2 linked regions of the Astyanax mexicanus genome follow. The protein of the gene in region 1 interacts with the protein of each later gene in a pairwise test. Links are inferred from orthologs where the notes say so. Each region holds a gene or a part of one and is shown on either strand. Other genes may lie near its edges.

Region 1 (5,417 bases):
TTTGTTTGTATTGCGGTGTTTACAGTATCAGTACAAGTTCTTGCCAATACACAGCAGCGGAGTCCTGCTCATCACTTTCTGCTGTTTCTCCTCAGTGTAGGAGGGAGACATGCCGGTTGTAAGGCACAGAATCAGTCATACTGAGAGTGTTTAAAGCTGTTTGGAGCTGTTTAAGCGGACTGTTGCTCTGTGTGGGTGGGGGAAATCAAATCAAAGTGAGGGAGTGGAGCGTTAAAAGCACAAGAAGTGTTAAAACATGAGCAGCAGCATCAGCTTGTTATTGAGGGGAATTGTCTGCTGGCTATGATGGAAATGTGTTTTGATAATTCTAACCTATTTGGTCAACGCACATACCATGTTGAACATCTTTGTTTTTTGAAGTTCCTATGTTGCCACTCTTCAGAGAAGATGCAAAGAGGAGAAAAACTTATAATTGGTCACCTTAACCTTTTCTAATAATTGGATTCACCTGTGTATGTGGGTCAAGGGTCAATAAGCTTACCAAACAAATTTTGTGTTCCAATAATTAGTGCTAAATGTATTCAGATCAATAACATGACAAGGGTGCCACATTTATTCACCTGCCTAATTTTGTTTAAAGAATTATTGCACATGTTCTGTAAATCCTATAAACATTATTTAACTTCTCAAATATCAGTGTTCGTCTGCTAAATGATATATTTAACTGAAATTGCTGATCAGAACAACCAATGATTTATAAAGAAAATTAAAAATGATCAGGGGAGCTCACTTTTTCATACCACTCTAAATACACAATGGTGTGAAAAAGTATTTGCCCCCTACAGATTTCTTTTGTTTCTGCTTTTTTTGTTATGCTGATAATTTTCAGATTATCAAACAAACTTTAATATTAGACAGAGATAAATAGTAAATATAAACAACACTTTTTAAATGATAATTTCATTTATAAAAGGAGAAAAATATTCAAACCAATCTAGCACTGTGTGAAAAAGTGTTTGCCCTCTAAACCTAATAACCTACCTGTGCCACACTTGGAGGCAACAACAAAAATCAGGTTTTATCAATAACTACGAATGAGCCTTTCACATTTCTGTGGAGGAATTTTGTTCCACTCTTCTTTACAGAATTGTTTTTGTTCCACTCTTCACAAGGGTTTTTGAGCATGAACATCCTGTTTAAGATCTTGCCACAGCATCCCAATCAGACTTTGACTAGGCCATTCCAAAACCTTAAAATAAAATATATCTATAATTTGCTTTACTCACCTGATGTTTTGCAATTTCCTTTTTCATTTGTAAACAGCAGTTTCCAATCTGCTAAAGTAGTAAAAAGATTTTTTTATGACCCTTTGAACTTGGCATTCAAAAAATAGTTAAAGGAGAATAAATAGCCTGTTTTGTATATTTCGAGTTGCCCTAACTTCAGATTATCAAGTAGTCTTTTGAAGCTGACACCACATTATGAAAATAGAACTGTTAGACTGTGAATAGCCTAAAACAGGAAATATAACAGTATTATTTATTTTTATTATTACCCTCTGAACTTGGCATTTGAGAAATTTTGAATGAGAACAGATAGCCTGTTCTGCAGATTTCCAGTAGCTCTAACTCCAGATAATAAACTAGTCTGCTAAAGTTGAGCACAGTTGAACGAGGAATATTACTGTATATATTTTTTTTCAATTATGATTCTCAGAACTTGGCATTTGAGAGATTTTGAATGAGAACTAATTGCCTGTTCTGCATATTGCCAGCTGTCCTAACTCCAGATTATGAAACAGTCTGTTAATAAATCTAAATAAGACGCTGGCGAAGGTGTGTAGGATTAGCTAAAAACTCAGTAACATCAGTAAAATGAATCCTGTCTAATGTATTCCAGTGTATTGCTCTCTTTGCTGCTCGTTTGAGATGCGAGAGGCGGCGAGTCACGTGATCACGCCGGGTCTCGCCAAGAGCGCTGGTCGCTACGTTTTTAGGTGAAGATCGGAAGTTTCCAGCAGTTAAACCGCTGGATTGGGAGCTCGGCTGGCGGACTGAGCGGCGGCTCGGACTAGTAGGTGACCTTACGTGGTTTTTGGCTTGGTTTCCGTGCGCGTTTGAGGCTAATAAGCGCTGTTTTTCTCTCAATTTCCCCCCAAAGTTACGGCGGGGAGTCGCCTGGGTATGACGTAAACGCGTAACTGGCTCGCTACACAGTGACAGCGGAGAGACGGCTGATCATCGGAAAAATGGGGGCAAATTCGTTTTAACGCGGATTTTAAGGGGCTTTGAAGGCTCGGACCCGCATCTGTCAGCAGCTTAGAGTTTAGTACAGAGGCTGAGCCCAGCATCTGGACACAGACATCCCGCGTTTTGAGGCGAGAGGAGGTAAAAACGCCGCCCCCCTCCCTCCTTTCCTCTCTTCCTAGCTAGCTAACAACCTCCGCCGCCTCCTTCTTCTCCTCGGTTAGCCAGTCAGCTATGTTAAGCTAGCTGACTAGCTAAATAGCAGCCTCCTGCCCCACATTTAAAGCTCTTACTTCGTTAAAAACACCAACACACAGGTGGCCATCCGACCTGTAGCCCAGCCAACGTGCTCAGTAAGCCCTAAGGGCGGCTAGCGCTCGCTCTGGAGGCTCTCTCCGGCTCCACAGCTGCTGCTGGCCCCGGTAAGTTAACGTAACGTCCAGCCGCTGCAGCACACTCCGCGATCAAAAAGCGAACAACACGTTAGTAACGTCTACATTAAGTTTCTGTAGACGTGTAGGCCTGTCCACACTGCTTATAAGCTCGAAACTACCCGTTACCGTAAAGCAAAACAACCTGTAACATCTTAAAAGCTGAAGTTGACTACTTGTTCGAATTATCCGTTCCACCTTAAATAGCGCAGCTGTCACAGTGAGGGCACCTGAGCCTCAGTGATGCTGTGCTTCTGCACCAGTTAAGGTGGAATTGTGATATTGGATATGTCTGTTTTTATTAAAGCTGCGACTAATTATTTATTTTGGTAGTCGACTAATCTGATGATTTTTTTTCAATTAGTCAACTAATATTTCTGCCATGTCCTCCGTCTCTAAAAATGATAGAAATTGCTGAACATGAGATTTAAAAGTTATTTATCTGAATGTTGTTTAAACATGTAAAGTACTAATGTTTAGTGAGTAAATATGTAATCTGTGTGTTTGGGCACTTTTGGAACCACAGACTAAGTTCTGTCCCCAGCACTTTGTGTAATACGGTACAGTTACAAATTAACCATTAGTCGACAATAATATTTGTAGACACATTGTCAATAATGTTGACTAATCGTTGTATCCCTAGTTTTTAATACACTGCCTGGCCAAAAAAAGTCTCCACCTGGATTTAACTAAGCAAATGATCAGTAGTATCTGCAGCAGTTGGTCAGGTCTGGTTTTAGCAACAGTATGTGCTGAAAGAATGAGGTCAGCTGACTACCTAAATATACTGAATATAGAGCAGGTTATTCCATCATTGAATTTTTCTTCCCTGATTGCACGGGTATATTCCAAGATAACAATTCCAGGATTCATGGGGCTGGAATTGTGAAAGAGTGCTTCAAGGAGAATGAGATCATCATTTTCACACATCCATTTTTACAAAATCCTAACAATGTATGGCACTGTGTTTTCTGTACTAAGAGCTTATCATAAAATTACAAGCATGTATGATCAGATATTTAAAAAACATGCTACATTTAGGCATTGGCATTTCTTGTCAGCAGTGTTGTATCTATCCTCTGATCACACCCATGGCCCATTCCCCAGTCCTGTTTCCATACCCCAGGTTGCCAGGTATGGAGGACAGTAGCAGGCAAGCACACAACATACTGCAGCATAATTGCATAAAGCTTCATGTACATGTACATGTACATTACATGTATGTGTTAAGTAGATCTTAAACCTATTTTAACCATTCACATCAAGTATATTTTGAACAGATTGTTTATTATGTTCCATTATAAACTAACAAACTAATTACCTTTACTTTTTTTTTTCAGTCTAGCATGTGAATGTCTGAAGTGGCCTAAGTGCCAAGAAACTACAGTCTTCAACACCTCTCAAAGCCTCTCTGGTGCCACCAACAATGTCAAGCAGAAGGAAGTCCACCACCCCCTGCATGGTGCTACCCTCAGATGTGGTGGAGCAGGATCCAGACATTGAAACTCTGGCAGGGGAGGAAGGAGCCGAGACTGCTGCAGAAAGCCCTGCAGAAGGAGCGGCAGTTCCTATGGAAACTGAGGGAGGTGAGGGTTGGTATCCTTAATTCAAGCCTCTGTTAGGGTTAGATTTTTGTTTTTATCAATTTTGGCCTTAATTGAGTTGGTACCTTGACATAGTAGACGCTAGTTATGTTTCAAAGTTAGGGAAGGCCCTCAGTAGAACTGTCCTGTAAATACTCATTTTCAGTAGCATGTTGGTTACACACATGGAAATGCTGAACATAAGTTAAGACAAAATAATCTACACCAAACAATGTGATTTATTTTTAAGCAGTGGTGACTGACATAGTCACTGCGAAGGTTCACTGCAAAAGCCATGCCATTTGACATAATACTAGTTCCTGTTCCATGACATTTGGCATTTGAGTGTATGTATGAGACATAATGAAAAATCAGTAATTTCATTATAAATAATATAATATATTTCCTTAAAAGATGTAGGTAACAGTCTACACATCTGTATCTTAAATAGTTTAATGGCACAAGGTATCCAGATTTGATTTGATAGTTCGGGCCTCTCTAAACATCTTGTCATTATATCATTATAAGCTTGCTTATTATTGATGTTCACATGTTAAATGTCATGAAATATTTTACTGTTTTTACTTTCCAGATCATGAGGACAGTGTAAGCCATTCTGCAGGGAAACGCCCCAGTCAAACCACTGTGGAACAGTCAGCCACCGATCTAACCACTGATGCAAGTTTTGCACAGCCTGAGACCGAGGAGAGTGAAGACCCTTCAGTTACTGCGATCTCCTTGAGCAAGACGCCTATCATGAAAAAGAAAAGCAAGCCTGAATCCAAGAGAATAGCCGTGTCTCTCAAAGGCACTGATGAAAGCGATGCGTTGGTTGAAAGTGAGGGGGATCCAGAACCAATGGAGGCATCTGTTTTGGGTGCCTCCATCACAGCCGACATGATGAATCCAGTATCTTCTGAGTCAGCAAAGCCTGGTTTGCTTGTAAGCATTCCTAATCCAGTGTCCAGTGAGCAAAAGAAGCCAGTTTTGAACCCTGCTGCGGTGCTCCCTGCTGGTCTGGCTCAAGTCCTGTCAGCCCTACAGGCACAGCAGAGTGCGCAAGCTCAGCTCCTGATTCCACTGAGCAGCATTCCCACCTACAACGCAGCCATGGACTCCAATGCCCTGCTGGTGAACACTTACAAGAAGTTTCCTTACCCTTCAGCATCTGAAATCATGGGTCTGGCAGCACAGAC
Region 2 (5,417 bases), about 11 Mb from region 1:
AATGCCTAAGACCTTGCTGGTTTAACTTCTTTTTCATCTTGCTTAATTTTTACAGATACTAAACTGCAAGATGATGAGTATTAGTGTAATGATTTCATGGCAGAATCAAAATCAAACAACATGAATTAAATTAAATTAAAATTAAATGATGTTTAACACTATCACAGTTACACATCTCGACACTTCTCAGGGTCTGATTTGTGCTTTTTTTGTAAAAACCTTATAATGTTAGGTCTGAATTGCCCAAATAATGTCTGTGTAAATAATAATGTTAATATTTCAGTACTTCTACATACTTTAGCTGAAATGTAGTAAAGTAGGTTTTCTGATGTGCATGTGGTATGGTAAAAGGCATTGAGGTGAAACTGTCCTTTAGATACTGATTTACTTGTATGTGTTGTCTTTTAGTTTTCTGTTTCATCATTTATAACTCCAAACCTAAAAAAGTACATTACAGAACGGCAAATGCAACTAAAACAGCTAATATTTTGAACACAATATTTTATTGTGATTTTCATTTATTTTCAGACAGTATGAATGCAATATATTTCATATTTTGTCTGATCAATTTCATTTTATTTATTAATATACATCTATTTCTCCATATTGAGTATAAATATTTCAAATAAGTTGGGAAAGGAGCAATTATGGGCCAGTAATCCTGACATACACAAACTAATTAATGATTTAATGAATTCAAACAGGGTATATCATGCTTTATTCAGCAGTAGTTGCCAAAATATGAGCAAGGGAGTACTTTGCCAAACGTCTTTCAACTGCTGCATTACAGACTTACATTACAAAAGACCACTTTAAATTTATGAGATGGTCACCATGTCCAGAAGTGGCATAGACCTTTCTGAGTTTGGAGGTACCTACGACAGACCATCACAGTGAAAGCATGAATTGTGCTCAGACAAAGCAGTATTTCAGATCTTTTTTTGTGAGAAAATTAAGTTGTGAGCTCCAGACCAAAGTGAAAAAGTACCATACAGACTGATAAGAGCAACAAGTGAAAAAATATGGTATGTGGTTGTGTCACTACACATATGTGTTGCAGCCTGAATGCATTAAAGTACACTGAGATCTTGGAGCAACATGTGCAGCCTTCAAGATTACATAATTTCCGTCCATGTGTTTTTCAATAAAACAATGCAAAACCACATACTGCACAGGAAGACATGGCTGTGATAGAAGAGGGTACATGTAATGGACTGGCCTGCCTGCAGTGTTGACACAGAATGTTACCTTGTACTATTGCACTTGCACTTAAGACTAGTTTGCAGAAAGAATGGGACAAAATAACACCTGAAACAGCTTTTTTTTATGAATGCATGAGTTGATGTATGTTAAAAAAACGCAACTATAAAATTTTATAGTTTTAATGTATTGCAATTATAATAAAAAAAACAAAATCTGAAATATTGGGTCAAACTGTCTACAAAAGAAACGCAGCTGTGCTCTTCTTTTATGATATTTTGTTGGGCATGACTATTTGCTTGCTCCCAGGTACAAGTAGCTTTTGCATGACAGGGAGGCTAAATTTACCCCTTAAAAACCTAAAACTTTGCAATGCAGTACACCCTAATGACTGGGAACATTTTATTTGCTGTTAAAATATAGCTAAGTGCCTAGAGCCCAGGACTTACATTAGTGTGGTTGTAAAGCAATGCGAATCCTCTTTTATTCTGTGAACTTTAGAATAAAGATAATTCATACCGGAAAATAAGTTCATAGATATTGAAATTGTATTCAAACAAATCTAGTATTTGGGTTTATGTAAGAAAAAGACAGATATTCTAGTTGCTAAATTGTGAAAATAATATGTAGTTTTAAAAATTTAATTTGCCAATATTATCATTATTAAGCAAAAAAATCTCAATTTTTCATTTTTACGTCATTTGAATATGGCAGTTGGTCTTGAAATTGTGCCAAAATGTCATAATAAATGGATCAAAAGACATTACTAAATTTGAAACAAATTATTTTTACATTGACTTTCCTTATAAAGACTTTTAATACTGCTACACACACTGTTACTTAGATCTGTATGTAATTAGTACAGACTGCTGCATACACCTGGGTGCAAATAGCTTGTGCTTGATTTTGTTTAGTAATAAAATTGTATTTGTAGTGGACTTTCTTGATACAACCCATTTTATATACTGTTTAAGGCATTATTTAAACAAATATGAGATATTAACATTACATTTGATGGATAAAGTGTAATTTCCAGTATAATTCAGCTGGGTAGGCTGCTGCTGGTTACTGTATTTGCTGAGAGAACAAGTTATAAGCTCTCAGCATTGCTAAACAACCTAACGAAAGGAGGAGCAGCTTAGAGGAGCCCTTCACTGAATCAGCTGTCCTCTCTCTCTCTCTCTTTCTCTCACTCAGTTGACAGCCAAGCTCGTCATACCAACATCGAGGGGTCACTCCTGGGAACGCTGTTCTCTTTTAACGGATACTTTATGGGCTTATTGTGTGTCATTTAAAATGACTGGGTTTTTTGATACACACGTTGGGATTTACTGAGAATTTAACGAGTTAACCTACTGAAGTAGTTGATGTGGGTCGACCAGGAGCTGCTGAGGAGAACTAACGTTAAGACATGCATCGCCTTCACTGCTACCTTCTTCTCTTCATAGTTTGGCTCTCGTGCTCGGTAAGCTAAAATACGTTAATTACTACAAATATTTCGATATTTGTTATGTTTAAAATTGTTTTAACAAGCTTTTTAGCAACCTTTCACGTATATTTTACAGGAGGGAGTGGAGTGAAGTTAGTTTTTAGTCGTATAAGCGCGTATTTCTCGCATTTTAAACCTAAATTTAATGCTAACGCTAAATAAACTGCAGCCGTTAATTTTCAAAAAAGTCAATTGTGTAAATTTGAGTTTGTGCCGTTAGCCTGTAAATATCTATCCACCGTCTCCTCGGCACTTTCTCTCAGCTGTGCCCCCGTTTCCTTCTGCTGTCTACACTGTGAGTACTTTCACTAGCTAGTAGTCTAGCTCTGTAACCACAACCAAATTAACTACCTTTTAAACACAATAAAGGAAACCACTACAAACCCCCGGGGCGCTGCTAGGAACCGGGTCATGGCTGTTGTGGTGGAGAAGGAGCGAAAGAATGCCGCTGTGTCTAAAAGGCGGTGATTCAGGTGTTTGGACATCGCCTTTTCCTCCCCCGCCCGTATTCCTACAATTCCCGCCTTATTCCAGTTATGATTGGCTAAAAAGCCATGCCGAAAAAACTTTGTCCAATCCAAGCGCAGGTGGTTTGACACGACTAGCCAATCGCAGAGCAGATAGGCGCGATTTGTCGGAATACGGGTGGTTAAAACCAAAACGCGGTCGACAGTGGGCGCCTGTAGTTTAGAGATATTATAGTTACATAGGTTAGCCAAATGCAGACATATACCCGCTCCTTTAGTCTGTCTGTTTTATTGAAAATAAATCACAAATATGACTGTCTACAGTGAGCACAGAAGTTTTAAGTGTAATATATTTGTAATTTACGTTAAATTATCTATTAAATTACGTTAAATTATCTAAGTTGTATGTTAAATTTCATTTGGTCATTATTTTTTCCGCTCTTGTCTGAGAACAAATCTGAAAATATGTGTATTTGTTGTATCTTGAAAAAGTGAATTATTGAATTTTCTTTGATTGAGTAGGATACAAAAGAAAAATATTATTATTATTATTATTATTATTATTATTATTATTATCATTATTATTATCTGCCCACTGTAGTTTATTTTAATACAACATTGGCTACACAAAGTTGTATTTTTAATATCAGGACATATTGGATCATTGATGTCTGGCGATGAATGGCATAACCCATTATGGCACAGATTTTATTTATTTTTTGGAACTAAAGTAATAACCGCCACTGTTTTAGCACTATTTCCAACAAAAGTGGTCTAGCTGCATAATGTTGTCAGTTTTATTAAATAAACAAAAATCTAAATGTGAATTTTGGACAAAAAAGTGTGATGGTGCTATATATATATATATATATATATATATATATATATATATATATATATATATATATATATATATATATATATATGTTACAGAACATCAAAATATTGCAAAATCCGATGTTTCTTTTAGGCAAAAACAAAGTCTTCAGCATTTTCCTTTTCAGACTAAACATTTTTATTATTTGGATATGAATGGGTTAACCCATTTTGCTCACACTGGTTTTCAGAACGTGTTGGACAAGGCCTTTTGTCTGTTGTCTGGATGTGTCCTGGAAGTTTGCATGGCTAGGCATGTCTTTCTTTGACGCAGGTGAAACAACACATATAGTGTAAGATTATAAAAAAATTAAGTCTATGACACCATGCACAGACTGCAGAGCAGGCATAACAGCATATACAATAATACAGGTCTGTGCATCCAAGCTCTTTCCTTAAAGTCATTAATCTGGGAGATATGTATGTTTTGCTTGTACAAACATCGTATATCATTAGAAAGACACAAAGAATAAGTGAAAAGTGATAAAAATAAGCTTGATCTGCTTCCAGATTTCTCTGAATGATTCTATGAACGAAAACATGAATTTGATAAGTTCTATACTGGGACAACTGATCCAATGTAGTTAAGTAATGATGAGCCAGGTATTGGACTGTAGATATTGAGCTGCCAAAGATACAGGATTGGAAACGTTTAAAGGAACATACCAGCACGCTTACAGTAAAAGCACAGCTTTTTCATTATAATATTAGTATTTTACTGAACACATAAACCGTAAATAGCCATTTTAACTGCTTTTTGATATACATTTCTCAGAATACATGCCTAAAACATGACATACTATTGTATTGCATGTTACAAATTGGGGGTGTAAGTAAAGTCACTTAGAGAACACTGTTGAAAAACCTGATACAGTATGTGCACAAAAGTATTTGGACACAGGGCAATTTATTGTTTCATCCAAAATCAAATGTATTTGTTGGAGGAACTGCTGCTATGGTCCACGGGAGACCTCCAATCAGGAGGTCAGCAATCAGGTGTTACAATGTCAGGGTGTTGTCTGATCACCACCCTACCTCTTCCTTAACTTCCCAGCTCATTCCAAAAGCATTGGATTGAGAACTGGCTATAGAATAGAGTACTATTCTACTGGTAATACTTCCCTACAGGCACTAGACAAGCTCTGTGTGTTCATCTGTGTCAGCAAAGGGTGCAACTTAAAGTAGCTCAATGCATTTATTAGTAGGGGTGTGCATAAACAGTTAGACATTTAATGTGTATATAGGCCTAATGGCAATAATGCAGTGCCATATTAAGTATTTAAAGAATACTTGTTGACATTATGAAAGCAGACATGTCCTCAGTTTCTCCAACTCCATGATTAACACCAACTCTGTTTAATTGTGTGTTAGTAATATTTTTGAAC

The links.
Region 2: the proteins of zinc fingers and homeoboxes protein 1 (region 1) and zmynd11 interact in a two-hybrid assay, tested with the Homo sapiens proteins (2 studies listed by BioGRID and IntAct). The link is inferred for Astyanax mexicanus from reciprocal best matches to the Homo sapiens genes ZHX1 and ZMYND11.

What each region holds. Positions count from the first base shown.
Region 1 is NC_064408.1:112,363,718-112,369,134, reverse strand, and holds the start of zinc fingers and homeoboxes protein 1, read left to right. Parts: upstream 1-1,815; 5' UTR 1,816-2,034; intron 2,035-2,058; exon of another isoform or gene 2,059-2,121; 5' UTR 2,122-2,348; exon of another isoform or gene 2,349-2,629; intron 2,630-3,978; 5' UTR 3,979-4,064; coding exon 4,065-4,230; intron 4,231-4,813; coding exon 4,814-5,417. UniProt on the Homo sapiens protein: Acts as a transcriptional repressor. Increases DNMT3B-mediated repressive transcriptional activity when DNMT3B is tethered to DNA. May link molecule between DNMT3B and other co-repressor proteins.
Region 2 is NC_064408.1:101,788,484-101,793,900, forward strand, and holds the start of zmynd11 (zinc finger MYND domain-containing protein 11), read right to left. Parts: upstream 3,194-5,417; 5' UTR 3,074-3,193; intron 2,666-3,073; coding exon of another isoform or gene 2,612-2,665; exon of another isoform or gene 2,275-2,611; intron 1-2,274. Other genes in the region: vipr2 (vasoactive intestinal polypeptide receptor 2), read left to right, coding at 2,612-2,665. UniProt on the Homo sapiens protein: Chromatin reader that specifically recognizes and binds histone H3.3 trimethylated at 'Lys-36' (H3.3K36me3) and regulates RNA polymerase II elongation. Does not bind other histone H3 subtypes (H3.1 or H3.2).